2 linked regions of the Saccharomyces cerevisiae S288C genome follow. The protein of the gene in region 1 interacts with the protein of each later gene in a pairwise test. Each region holds a gene or a part of one and is shown on either strand. Other genes may lie near its edges.

What was found.
Region 2: the proteins of SLS1 (region 1) and MTF2 interact in binary tests that used the Saccharomyces cerevisiae proteins (3 or more experiments, as listed by UniProt).

The regions. Positions count from the first base shown.
Region 1 is NC_001144.5:419,689-426,505, reverse strand, and holds SLS1 (Sls1p), read left to right. Parts: upstream 1-3,032; coding exon 3,033-4,964; downstream 4,965-6,817. Other genes in the region: PUT1 (proline dehydrogenase), read right to left, coding at 1-1,320; RRN5 (Rrn5p), read right to left, coding at 1,732-2,823; NHA1 (Nha1p), read right to left, coding at 5,112-6,817. UniProt on the Saccharomyces cerevisiae protein: Involved in aerobic respiration where it is required for assembly of respiratory chain enzyme complexes III and IV. Also has a role in mitochondrial gene expression.
Region 2 is NC_001136.10:373,248-379,458, forward strand, and holds MTF2 (Mtf2p), read right to left. Parts: upstream 2,043-6,211; coding exon 720-2,042; downstream 1-719. Other genes in the region: FAD1 (FMN adenylyltransferase), read right to left, coding at 1-361; spliceosome assembly protein PRP11, read right to left, coding at 2,433-3,233; NAD-dependent histone deacetylase SIR2, read right to left, coding at 3,510-5,198; peptide alpha-N-acetyltransferase complex A subunit NAT1, read right to left, coding at 5,627-6,211. UniProt on the Saccharomyces cerevisiae protein: Required for the processing and/or for the stability of the CYTB and COX1 intron-containing pre-mRNAs and of the ATP6 transcript. Could be a stem-loop RNA-binding protein that plays a role in determining RNA stability.

The sequences.
Region 1 (6,817 bases):
TTTAGTTTCCAATGGTGGGCCCCATGGGACATACTTGATTATGTTTTTAGCGCCATGGTTGGTAATTAGGTCATAGGTAACATTATCTGCCATACCTAGTAATTGCCCCAACACAATGTTCGATTTGGCATAAGAGTTGTCTTGGGTAGATTTTAGCAAATTAGTAACGAGCATTTGGGATTGGTAATTATGAGAGGCGACAACCAAGTGACCAAAATAAGAATCCTCGCCATTGATGATTAAATCATTGACAACTTGAGTGATGATACGATCGTAATTTTCGTCAGTGCCCGTTTTATCGCCAAAGATAATTTGGTTACGGTTTTTTTCAGAATGAATATAAGCACCACGAACCAGTTTCAGCCCAAGCTTATAGCCGTTTTCTTGGGCCAGCTTCAATTCGTGCAAAATATGGTCACCAGAGTCCCTTAGGTACAACTGCCAAGTACCGACACATGATATCAGTTTAGATGAAGTGGGATTGAATTTTTGAAATAAGATTCTCTGTAATTCGTAAACACCATTCTCCTGCAAATCATACTTCTCAGCGTCAATAGTGGAAACCATAAATGGGGCCTTTCTTTCAGGGTACTTCTTTAACAAAGATTGATTTAGTTCAAAAATCTCTTTTGTAATCTTAGAGCAGTTCTCGATCAGCTGATCCCTTTGAGCCTTGTAGGCGGGATTACTGAAATTGTACAGAACCTCGTGAGGGTTATCGACCAAAGCAGAGGGTTTTAGAGCGATATAACCTGGAGCAATGTCATTGATTGGCTTAGATTCCAGCTGGCCAATAATATTGGGCAGTAGGATGTTGTGGACAGAGCTGATTGTTTCCTTGACAATTTGGTCTACTGGAGTACTGGACAAACTCTTTGTACCTTCGGAATTTTCAATAGTTAATGAAAGCATCATGTTCGATATACCTCTCTTCTGCAGACGTTTGCCGCATTCGATGACCTCTTTAAAGTTCTCACCGCCACAGTATAAAGAAGAGACGAAGAATTTTATTACTGGGATGGGGATGTAAGGGAACAACTTAATGATCGTGTTCAGGAAGAAGCTGTTCAAGGTCGCAATACCGATGAATCCCAGTTGGAATAGTTCCTTCTTGGGAAGTGTCTGTAGAAAATTGATTGAGTTAGGAGGTGCCATCACACTATTGCCGTTGGCATTGGCGGCCGGAGTTTCAACCATCAGATTAGCAGCCGTGTTAGAGTGTGTCGGAGTCTTTGACACATAGGACCTCTTTATCAAAGGAAAGCATAGAGAGGGTATGCGCGATTTAGTAACTAATAAGGAGCTTTTGGAAGCTATCATTTCTAGCGTGCGTTAGTGTTATTACTATGTAGCGATGTTTATGATATATAAAAGACAAAAGAGAAGAGCTGCTACGGACTTGTGGAGTTTGTGTTCGGTTCCCAGCAAGCTTTATATAAGAAGGCAGAAGGGTGAGAAAATGGGCTTAGTTCATGCGATTTCTCCTGATAATAGACGATACTAAGTACAATAATGAGATGATAAGGGAAATAGCGCCACTCATCAATTGTTTATCATTCATTTTTCTTGTGTAGATATGCTTTTCGGGATGCGAAACCCGAGGCGTGGTAACCGGAAAGCCATTGCCGAAAGGAAATTCCAATCAAAAAAGCGGTGGAGCTAACGGAGGGAATAAGCGAAAGAATAATGAAAACAAAAATTATGTCCCTGCGCGATTTTTCGCATTGTGTCTCATTTGGATAACCATTTTAGCAACTGATTTTCATGTAATGCTGATCGGAACAAGTCCGCTTCGTCGATTTCATCCCTTTCTGCCTCGCTTTCACCTTCACTTGCAGTGTTATCTTGTTCTTGATTTTCTTGATTTTCTTGATTTTCTTGATTTTCGTCTTGATGGACTGGGGGCGCATCCCGTCTGGACAACTGGCTTTGTAGAAACAGATGTGCCATCTCCTTGGTGCGGAACAGTTTGCCCTCTCGCGGATAGTCTAGTTCCCATTTGCGCAGTGTCAAAACAATGCGCCTTGGAAGCACGTGTAGGTCACGTGATCGGGCTTCTGTGCATAGTGCACGCTCAACTTGCCGGCGAGTTACCACCGTCGGTAGCGACTTGTGTCCTCGAGATTCGGCCGCCCTGGCGCTGACGCTGCGGGAAGCCATACCCGCAAGGGCCGTGCACCACAGCAATGTACGTGTGTAGCGACTTACGCAGCGCTCCAAAGTCTGCGTCGCGCTGCGCGATAGCGGCAGCGCGTGGCGGGGCAAGGGTCTTATCTCCGCGATACGGCTGTGCGAGTAGATGGCCACCCACCTGCGTTTCCAGCTTTCATAATCGATAAGGCCCTCGCAGTGTCCTTCCTCATCGGCAACCTCGGCTGCGCCTTCCGTGATGGCCATCACTGTCTCGCTCAGTTTTGTCTCCAGGGCAACCCACTCAGCGCTCATTTCGTACGCAATGGGCGCTCCGTCGTCACCCGCCTTACGCGATCTCGCGCTCGCACTCGCTCTCCTTAACAACCTGTAATAACCTAGAATCTCCATGGCGCTCTTCCGAGGCAACAATGAGCGCCACTCGTCTACACGGTGGATACTATAGCGTGAAAGGCACCAGAAAAAGGTATTCTTCTCCTCGCTGTCCCAGTCTACACCAACGCTAGAGATTTCTACACCAGCATTGGCGGTACCCGCCTTTTCATGGATGCTCTTTACATGTACTTTGGAAGGATGGAACTCAGCTGGGCGGCCTGACGCGGCACCATTGTAGAATTCCTCGACCTCCTTATTGTACAATTCGACGTACTTCCGCAATTGTTGGTGCTCCATCCTAGGTGACCGTCGTATGCGCTGTGCTTTCCTAGCTCTTCTTCCACTTCTGTTTCTCTATACTTTTTTTTTTGTTTTTCACCTCGCCCGCCTTTTCTTATTTCAGTGAACTGAAAAAAAAAAAAAAAGTTATGTATCTTTAATGTAATAAAACTAGTACATAATATATACGGAGCTTGAAGGCACTGGAGAAAATATAGAGTAAGCATATGTGGAAATTCAACAAAAAGCTCGCCCGTCTTACTTACCGTCTTTATTCAAGCTCAGGCCCAAGCTCGCCCCTTCATGGGAAGAAGAAACTGCCGCAAAATCTGAAATTCGTCGTCTTGAACCCTACCCAATCTGGGCTAGTGAAAAATGATCAGAAGCAGCCTAGACACAGGCCGTCTAAGAAACGTAGCCATAAGGAAACTGGAGATAACAACCTCGATTTCGGCTCGAAACTCCTTGTCTTCGAAAAGCAGAATTCACTAGATTCCGCATTGAACTCCATCCGATTGAAGAAACCGACAAGCGCCAGTCTGCCCTCCCTGGAATACAATGCCCTTCTCCAATCGCTTACATCAAGCTACAATCGCTACCAACTGCGCGAGTTCATCTCCACACATCAGCCAGACTCCTCTTCACATCTGACGCACTGGAAGAAAAGCAAGCTGTCCCAATATATAATTGAAAAAATCTGGAATTGCCAACCAATTTCAACACCCACCACTCCCACAGGCATCAAGTCCACATCATTGACTTTCCAGTTCGATTCTCCTAGAGAAATTTTCCTTTTACTCATCACTCAAAATGGTAAAATACTCACCAACTTCAATAAGCTCGGGCTGACATTCATCATCTCCATTCAGGATAACGAATTGACCGTCAAGGGTTCGCCTAGCTTGCTCAAATACGCAGAAATATCCTTAAACAAAATATGGTCAAACATCACTCATGAAAATGTGCGTATGTATTCCCTCATGCCATCAAAAGACGTCATCAACCTTATTCAGAAGGAAACTCACACTTTTTTTGAATACCTCCCGGACTTGCAAATGTACAAGATTTCAGCCCTAAGCACCAAGAAAATATCCATGGCCAAAGTCTTTTTATTAAATGCCGTCGCTTCTAATCCTAACACAACTCAACACCACCACACAATAGCCTCACCAGCACTCAAGACAGAACTCTATCCGTTCAACAATACTCTAGAGAACTTGGACTGGCTAAACAAGTCACAAGATTGGGCAAGATTACAGTCAGTTGTCCCTAAAAATTGCACAGATCTGATGACTCCCACTGAAAACGCCACACCAGAATTGACAGATGCGCAGGTCAGCCAATTCGAATCTTCCTTGTCTAAAAATATACCATCTCTCTCCCCTTCCGACTCTATTTCCCAATCTTTATCAATAACGCTAGGTCACTCCTTACAGTCCGCGTCTTTTTCTAGTATTTTCCAACCTCTAATACATAAGAGTTTTATTTCAAAATTACTGAATCTACCAATGTACAAAGAATCATCATCATCAGCCGTACCTGTGCCTGTGCCTCTTGATCAACATCTAATAACAAATGCGCATCAATCCTTCATACAGCTGAACTTCACTCCTGTGCCGCCCACCTCTGGCTCCTCCTCGTCCCCTTTTTTGCAGATTTGGTTCGAGATTGACGAATTCGATAACATTGTTACCACCTCAATGAGGCCTCTTTTGAAATTACAAGAAAATTCTGTTATCTTAAGAACTCCACAATGCCAGACAGACTATAAGATCACGTCAGATTACATTCAAGATCTTTTACCTGATTTCGACCAGACCAATCCGGATGCTTGGTTATCTGAACAAAAAGGCCTCCAAGAATTTCTTCTCAAGTCACACTGGAAGTTAAACAAATATCAGAATCTTATGAAAAAAATCAACATTTCTTTACCAGATAACCTAATACAGCAATACCAATTGACTGATGTTTTGACCCATCGTGTCTTGAATTTACGATTTCCTACGAACACTGCCCAAGATGATAAATACATCATTCAATATTCAGATATCAGCCGCGGATTTTTGAACAATGGCTCCTACAGACAATTAGATTTCATCAATGTGAACCCCAGTGAAACCTCACTAAAAACCTTTATCAATGATGTTTTAAGCTTTTAAGTTTAACGGAAAAGAGTAATGACAAAACCGCATACCCCCCCCCCCTCCCCCTCTTTACCGCATCTACTCTATTTCCGACACATGTAAATAAAAAAGGCATTTCGTTTATATATATACTAAAATAATATATCTTTGTGTATTAATAAATTACTTATTGAGACCAAGCGTTTTTGATAGCGCCGACTTAACAGCAGCACTCTTTTGCTTTTTTTTTCCTTCCGCTGTACCTGGACCATCGTTTCCTGTTTGTGCCTCCACAGGTAAGGGCGGCAACTCTTCGTCATCTTGATCCGCTGGTGCCGTCATCTCACCTAACGCATTTAACCTTCTTTGTCTTTCGAATTCAGTTTCTGATTCATATGCATTATCGTCGTAATCTTCACTATCGTCCATGTTATAACTATCACCTAAATCCTCCTCAGATGAAGGTTCATCTTCCAGATCTAAGGAATCTTGAACTCCTCTCGGTGGCGCAGGTGTTAATGTCCTTTTCTTTAACATCCCTGGGCCCTTCCTGGAGGGTCCTTCGATGGCTTTTTCTTCATCTACTGGAGGCGGTACGCCGCTGTTCGCTTTGCTCTTTAGTCCTACTGCTGTTAAAGCTCTTGATACAACACTATCGTTTCTTGGGCGGTTTTTACTTTTATCATCATCAGATTTATGAGGATTTATCTTGTATCTTTTTATAACATCACCGTCCTCATTCTCGATGATTAACAGATTGTCTATTTTAAATGCATGATACTTGCTGTTTTTATTTTTATCCTTTCCTTTATCAACCAATGAATGTATCTTTCCTAAAGATGTGGGAGTTAAAATTCTCTTTAACCTTCCCCCACTACTACTGGATAGATTGGTCATTGTGGTAGTTAAACTTGAATGGGCTGTACTATCAACACTAACTTCGTCATCTCTCGCCTCATTGCGATCCTCGATATCTACTTGATTCAAGATTTCACCTTGCTTATTTTCAATAATCATTCTATTACCATCTAAATAAGCAGTACCAGGTTTCATTTCTTCCTCTTTCATTTTTCGAATTCTCCTCTCTTCACTACTGGCCATTGATCTTTCACTTTCATTTTCCATCTCGTCTTCGCTTTCAATCTCGCTTTCTGTCTCTTCTCCATCGTAACGGTTTCTTGGTACGTAAGTTCTTCCTCGGAGAGATGAAGATCTTTCAGACGACTCAAAACTTGGTGTGTTATTGTAATTATCGCTATATTCCTTTTCCGGTGTGTACTCATCTTCTTCTTCATCTCCACCCATTCCAATCTCCTCATTACGTTGTGTATTGACGGCTGTGCTCAATGCAAATGTGGCGGCGCGTGCTTCCTTTTCTTTTTGCAACCTTTCTCGTCCCAGATCATTCAACTCATCGTCATCATACATTTCATTTTTAGATCTTGATGAAAATATTTCTCTACCTTTGTTTCTCAGTTTCTGTCTTCTGTTCAATCTTTTCTCTTTTCTTGACAATTTCCTCCTCCTTGGCATACCACCAGCGGGTCTTGCAGGAATTCCGCTCGTTGCGACGCTACCAATTTGATCATTGTTTAATCCTTCTTCATCTTCACCTCCTGCTAGTCCCTTACGACCTCCTCCTTCTTCTGCTTCACCTTCATCCCCTGATAAAGTCATTTGAGTATCCATACGATGCAATGAAAATGATCGTCCAGCTTTATCCAACGATGGCAACCTTTGCATCCATGAACTTTTCCCATTATCACCATTGGTGGTGTGTGTAGTGAATGTTTTGGTTAACGTTATCGTGTTCAAATGACGACCTAGAGTTATGATTGCAACTGAAGAACCATGAACTATGATAGAAGTAACAATGAAAAAACAAGTTA
Region 2 (6,211 bases), on another chromosome or scaffold:
GTACAAAATTCTCTAATGTAGGGAAAGTTTCTTCTTGATCAATGAAAACAGTTGGAAGTCTTTGCATGGGGAAGCTTTGAAACTCGAAATCGAATTGGGAATTTTGAGCCTTAATGAAGAAATATTCCCATAAGCAACTCAGATATAACAGTAGTAATACCTGGCAATCTTTTCCTCCGTTGTACGAGAATGATATTTCCCCATTCAGTGGACTCCAACGTACAAAAATTTCACTTAGTAAGTATTTTCTTGTCAACCGTATCGCTTCTTGTGTACTTGCTATTATCTGAGATTTCTGGTCTATGTGTAAGTAAGAGTTTGTTATCTCATAACACATCTCAGCAGCCTTGCTCAACTGCATATTGTGCTCCCCTATTTGTTTATTACTTTTTGCAAATGTTGCCCTCTATACCGAGAAAGTAATATCAGTTTTTTCCACTCTCAGTCAACAAAATCTTTCGAAGATTTTTCGAGGTTCTTTCTATAGACGGATCCTTAGGTTCTTGCTAACCAACGTGTTGTATATGAAACCCATCTCCAAATTTTGAGCTCTTCCCATCCTTTTGTTTCCTCGGACTCAATGAATTTGAAATCTGCCGAACAAGCTAACTAAAAAATAGGAAAATTGGAACAGAAGTTAAATGCGAGCAGGAACGTTTATTAGCGCTTTTAAGTCTAACACATATATATAACACTATTTACAAGGTTTGAATAATTTTCTACCTGTCTCTAGTTAAATTTTTTTTGAGGCTTTTGAGATAATTTTCAACAATTAGTAAGTCATTATTCGTGTCTTTATTCCATAAAACACCTACATTCACTATTTTATTTGCGCTGGACGAAACTTCCTCATCTGCACTGAGCTGTTCTCCTGCTTCAAGAAAGACATCCTCATTTAAACTTCTCATTTCTTTGACAATCTTATCCAATATATCCACGGTTTCAATATTTCCGATGACACCATTAACGCTCATCTCGGTAACCACACGTCTCAAGTAGCGAATCTCCTGGAAGTTTTCCCACAATAGCTGAACCAGCAAATTGTAGAAATCAACATTACAAATTGTTAGGTACAGTGAAGCGTCCATGTTGTTTTTACATTCATTATAAACATAGGAGATCAATGTGTACTTTCTGTCTGCCGGGAAATCAAAGTCACCTAATCTAAGCGATTTGACTATAATATATGGTAAAGTCATTGCAAGCGGTTTCGGTAGTTCTGCCGGTTTATTTATACACGCACTTCTAATGTCTTCGAAAATGTTTGAAGATTCTGCATTCATCTTTAACTCTAGGTCTTTGTTCCTTTTCTTGTAAATGTCTAGTGATTGCTTTAGGTATCTTAAAAGATCGTAATCACTTTTAACAGCTTCCCTCAAGTAGTCAATGTGAGGTTCTAAAACCTGATCCAGTGTGGTTTGGTACCGAATCTTATTACCAATTTCTTGCATCACTTCCTCGCTAAATTTGACGTTGGAATGTGCAACTGGCTGCCTCAAAGCTTCCATTCCCGAGCCCTTGCGCAGATTAAGATTCAGCAATTCTCTGTTGCTTTTATTAATGCTATTATCTTCGTCAAATATCTTTTCCAGCAAAGTTCTTGTCTGCTCACTTATCGTTTTAGTGCTAATAGCAGAAGGTTCTGCCCGTTCGTAGACATAGTCATTGCCTGCTGTTTCCTTCAGGAATTCATGGTCCTTATTTGGAAGCTTCCTTTGAGCTCTTTGACTGTGGTTAAAAACAATTTTTTCTTTTTTTACACTAGTTCCCTCGGAGTTGTCCTGTAGCCCATTGTAATACTTGTCAATTATTTTGCTAGCATTAGTGTGCCTCATGTTTTCAACCCTTGCTCCAGCTTCGAATAGTTCTCCAAATACCTTACGTTCCTCTTCGAGAGCTTGTTCAAATGTCTTTTCATTTGAAACTCTTTCTACGTTGTGAGTTTTTCTATCTTTCAAATTGGCTTCATTCAGCAAGCATCTATGGATGCAATGTATGTATCTATAGTTACAGTTTTTTAATATAGATGATGTTCTGATCATTGTATGGCGTGTTGTACTCTTCCTTAGTTCCCTCTTCTTCCTTTACAATTATCTCTCAAGTATAGCAAGCGTTGTCACATCACAGTTTTCGGCCTTGTTCGCCTAATTACATTTTTCTGAATAAATACGTATGTATGCTGCGAGTACTAGATACTGTTGATAAATGGTAACATAAATACTCTAGATCGCAAAAGCGCATGGAAGTTGAGCAGTAATATAATTTTAGAGGAATATGGTTATTATACTCCCTGAGAATAAGTGCACATTGGATGGGAAAATTTCGTAAAAAAAACTCTTGTAAAGACAATTGTTTCCTTAATAGCTATTATATAATCCAATTTGGTTAGAGTTTTGTATGCCGATTATTAACGTTACCCAAAAATAATACTGTCATACATCGGCTTGTTCTTGTTCGGCTTGTTTAAAGAAAAATTGAACGTAATAAAGTTTTGATATAGCATCCCAAAATGTACACTTTTTATTTAATTCATCTACTCCATCGTTATTATTGTCCATGTCATTGTTTTCGCTGAATAATATTTCGTTTGGAGGTAGCTCAATAGCAATATTTTCAAAGGGTTCATACGCAATAACGAGAAATTTTTTTCCCTTCTGTTTGGTATCTGATAGCTCTAAACCAGATACAATCCTAATGAGAGGAGGGACTTTAGCCTTATCATCGCTATCGACACTATTTTCTTTGACTTCACTGCTATAATTTACCTGGATAGCCAAACCTACTGAACCGTTCTTCGGGTTTTTCACGGTAGCTATTTTACAAACAGGGATCGTACCGTTATTCTTTAAAGATTGCTTAGCTTCAATTATCTTTTGTTGTTGTCGGAAATCATGAGTTGTTTGGCCTTCTCTCCCTAGAGAACTTTTCTCTATACTGATACCACGCCTTAACACATTTAAACCATGTTTTTTACCACCCAAATGCCTTTCAACGCTGGACCACGACATGTGCATTGTATTACATAGTTTACAAACCAGTTTACCGGAATGATTCTTGTAAATGTACGGATTGGACCTTACTTGATCGTCCTTTTCATCTTGGAAAGTGTACGGGACATTTTCGCCTTTACTAAGTAATGATTCGACTTCTTTCCTTCGTTGTAAGTTAAACTGAGATTCTGAGGCTATACCACCACCTCCTTTCTTTGACCCAACGCCTTCTAAATAGTTCATTTTGAATGTATGGATGCGTTAAATGATTTGAATTTGCTGTTCCACCTGCCCTTCTTACATTAAGCTATTTGTGAGAGCCTTGCGTCTTTAGCAGATTTTTTTTTTTCATTTTTTTAGTGAGATGGGCGGTACATGTAATATTTCACCCGGTACAATGAAAATAGCAGAATGTAAATAATATTTGACTACAATAATTGAAAGGAAAACAAAATTGTTTGCCATACTATGTAAATTGATATTAATTTGGCACTTTTAAATTATTAAATTGCCTTCTACTTAGAGGGTTTTGGGATGTTCATCTGATGTAACGACATACACGCCCTTATCCTTCTCTTGGCATTTAAAGTTCTTGTTCTTCAAATCGTTCCATTTCTTATGCGGAATCGTCCAGCCACATTTTTGGGCTACCATAGCTGCAATGTCATCACAGTACCCCAAAAGAGATAAATCAAATTCTGCGTGCTTGACGGGATCACGATTAATCAGGACTTGGGGAACGTGGGAAGGAACCATGTTTACGATTTCAGACACTGGCGCTACTTTTAAACTTGTCCCAATGCAAATCAACAAATCACATTCTAAGATATCTTCGCGAATGCTCTTATGAAATTTATTTGGCAGTGCTTCGCCAAAGAATGTGATATCTGGTTTGAGAACGCCATATGAGTTAAGGATATATGGAGGCCTTTCCGACATTGAACCCTGTGATGCAGCAACACCTACTTTATTATTATATCCCTCTGGGAAATATTCTCTTCTTTTTTTGTAACAGTACGGGCATAGTGGAAGTTCGAGGTTTCTAATTTTATTAAATATCCTCTCACCGGGTAGGTTCCAATGGCAGGTAACGCAGGTGGCAGTAGCAAAAGAGCCATGGCACTGCACCAGTTTATCTGTGCTTATTCCCGCATAAGATTCCAAATTATCAATGTTTTGAGTATAATTTCTCAATAATTTCCCTTTCATTTGTAGCATCTTAATGAAACTATGCAATGGAGAATAAATTTTTTCTGGAGGTAAAACCATATTGGCAATATTATAGAAAACAGAGGGGTCGTGCATAAATATATTGTAATTGAAAACGTCTTGGGGATCATCGAGCCCCAAATGTTTGATCTTTGAATAGAACCCCTCAGAAGATCTGAAGTCCGGGATCCCTAATGAAGTTGAAACACCTGCACCAGTCAGGACCAAAATTTTTCTAGCGGTATGTAATTTTTGAATAAAATGATCAATAGTGAAAAAATTGGATAATCTTAATCTTGTACATAGAACTTTGTTAATTGCTCTTTGCAAATCTTTGATTAGACGAACTGTTTGCTTTTTTGCCAATGGGTCTTCAACATTTGTGACAGATATTGCACTTCCCAAATCTTGAACACGCTCTTGCGAGTTGATATGGACAATACTGTTGATGGTGCCGATAAGCGCTTGATCTTTAACTTCAAAGCCTAGCAACTTGATAAGATAGTAAATGTATAACGAGTTCAAATCCTCGGGGAGGTAAGTGTCTAAAAATTTGTGTGCACCATAGTATTTCAGAAACATTCGAGCATTGAGAGACTCTCGTTTAGTGAAGGAGGGACCATAGAAAATACCATTTGATGGGTTTTTACTGATTATGATTGGCCCCTTGGGCGTCTCTGGTTTCAAAACGTCATTGGACATTGACACTACTGAAGCTGCTGACACTGCCAAGGGATCCATGTCATTAGTTGGTTTGAGCTCCATCGATGCCACTTCTCCGAGCGCAGCTTTAGTGTGCCCAAGTGGATCTGTTGTGTTGGTTTCCCTCAAGGAATCCGGCTGTGCTACTTTTATCTTCTTATGTGAAGGTTCATCATTATTTATAATGTCATCGGGTTGTTTTCTGATCGCGTCTTTATCTTGTGTGGGGCTTACTGTATTTGAAACCTTATTTTCGCTAGTCTTTGATACGGCGTATTTCATATGTGGGATGGTCATCCAGCTTTAATGTGCCGATGAGGGAAAAATGGTTTGAATGTGTCTACCGAAGCGATGCCTAATTTCTTGAAATACGTGAGAATGGGCTTTACATCTCTTCACTAAATATATTTTTCTTGGGTGGTGAAAAAGACAAGTCTTTCAAACTATGCGACCTAGAAAAAAAATATTTTACCGCAACTGGCGGCCAAAGAGGACAAAGAAAAATTCCTCGTTTTTTCTCTGAGATGGGAAAGCAAGAATTTTGGCAAGAAAAGGTCCTGGCTGTCCTGGACCATGGTTGGAAGGAGTGCTAGATGTAGCTTGGAAAAGAAATGACCTATAACAATGTATCTTTTATGAGCATATGCGCATGCATATAAGCATATACATAAAAAATATATACATAAATTAAGTAAGAGTTAATTGACACATTGAGGAGTTGCAGGCTACAAGTAATACTGTAGAATTTCGTTCTGGGAGTGAGGCTCCAAGGGAGAAAGACTGCTAATAATCATTTCTTTCAAATTAGAGCTTCCGATCGGAACATCATCGCGATAGCGATACAGAAATAGCAGGCCATTTATATCATTCTTACCGAATTTTTCTTGGTAGAAATTCAGCCAATCGAAGCTATTGTTAGATATTTCGTTTAATGGGAAATTTTCAGAATACTCTTTTTCAAGGCTCTTCGTGACTACTTTCTTCAAAATTGGATCAAAGGGGGTGTCGTTTCTTGTGGCATGTAACAAAACAATGGCCATACTACCAAATAAACCGCTCGTGGTGCCAAATCTCTTAGCGAATTTGTTTAGAGAAGCAAAGCACAAAGCTAACTTTCCAATTCTGTAGTTAAATTCAAAGTCCAAAATATAATCCCTTTCGTCTTCTCTGACTTGCATGGAGTAGTTATTATAAAATTCGGTAGCGAAGTCCTCCATTGGAGTGGAGGTTTCAATCAACTTTTCGCCGAATACATCGTTATCTTGATCACTCGGATAAGCAGCAACACTCTTGGCTTCAGTTTCTTTCCG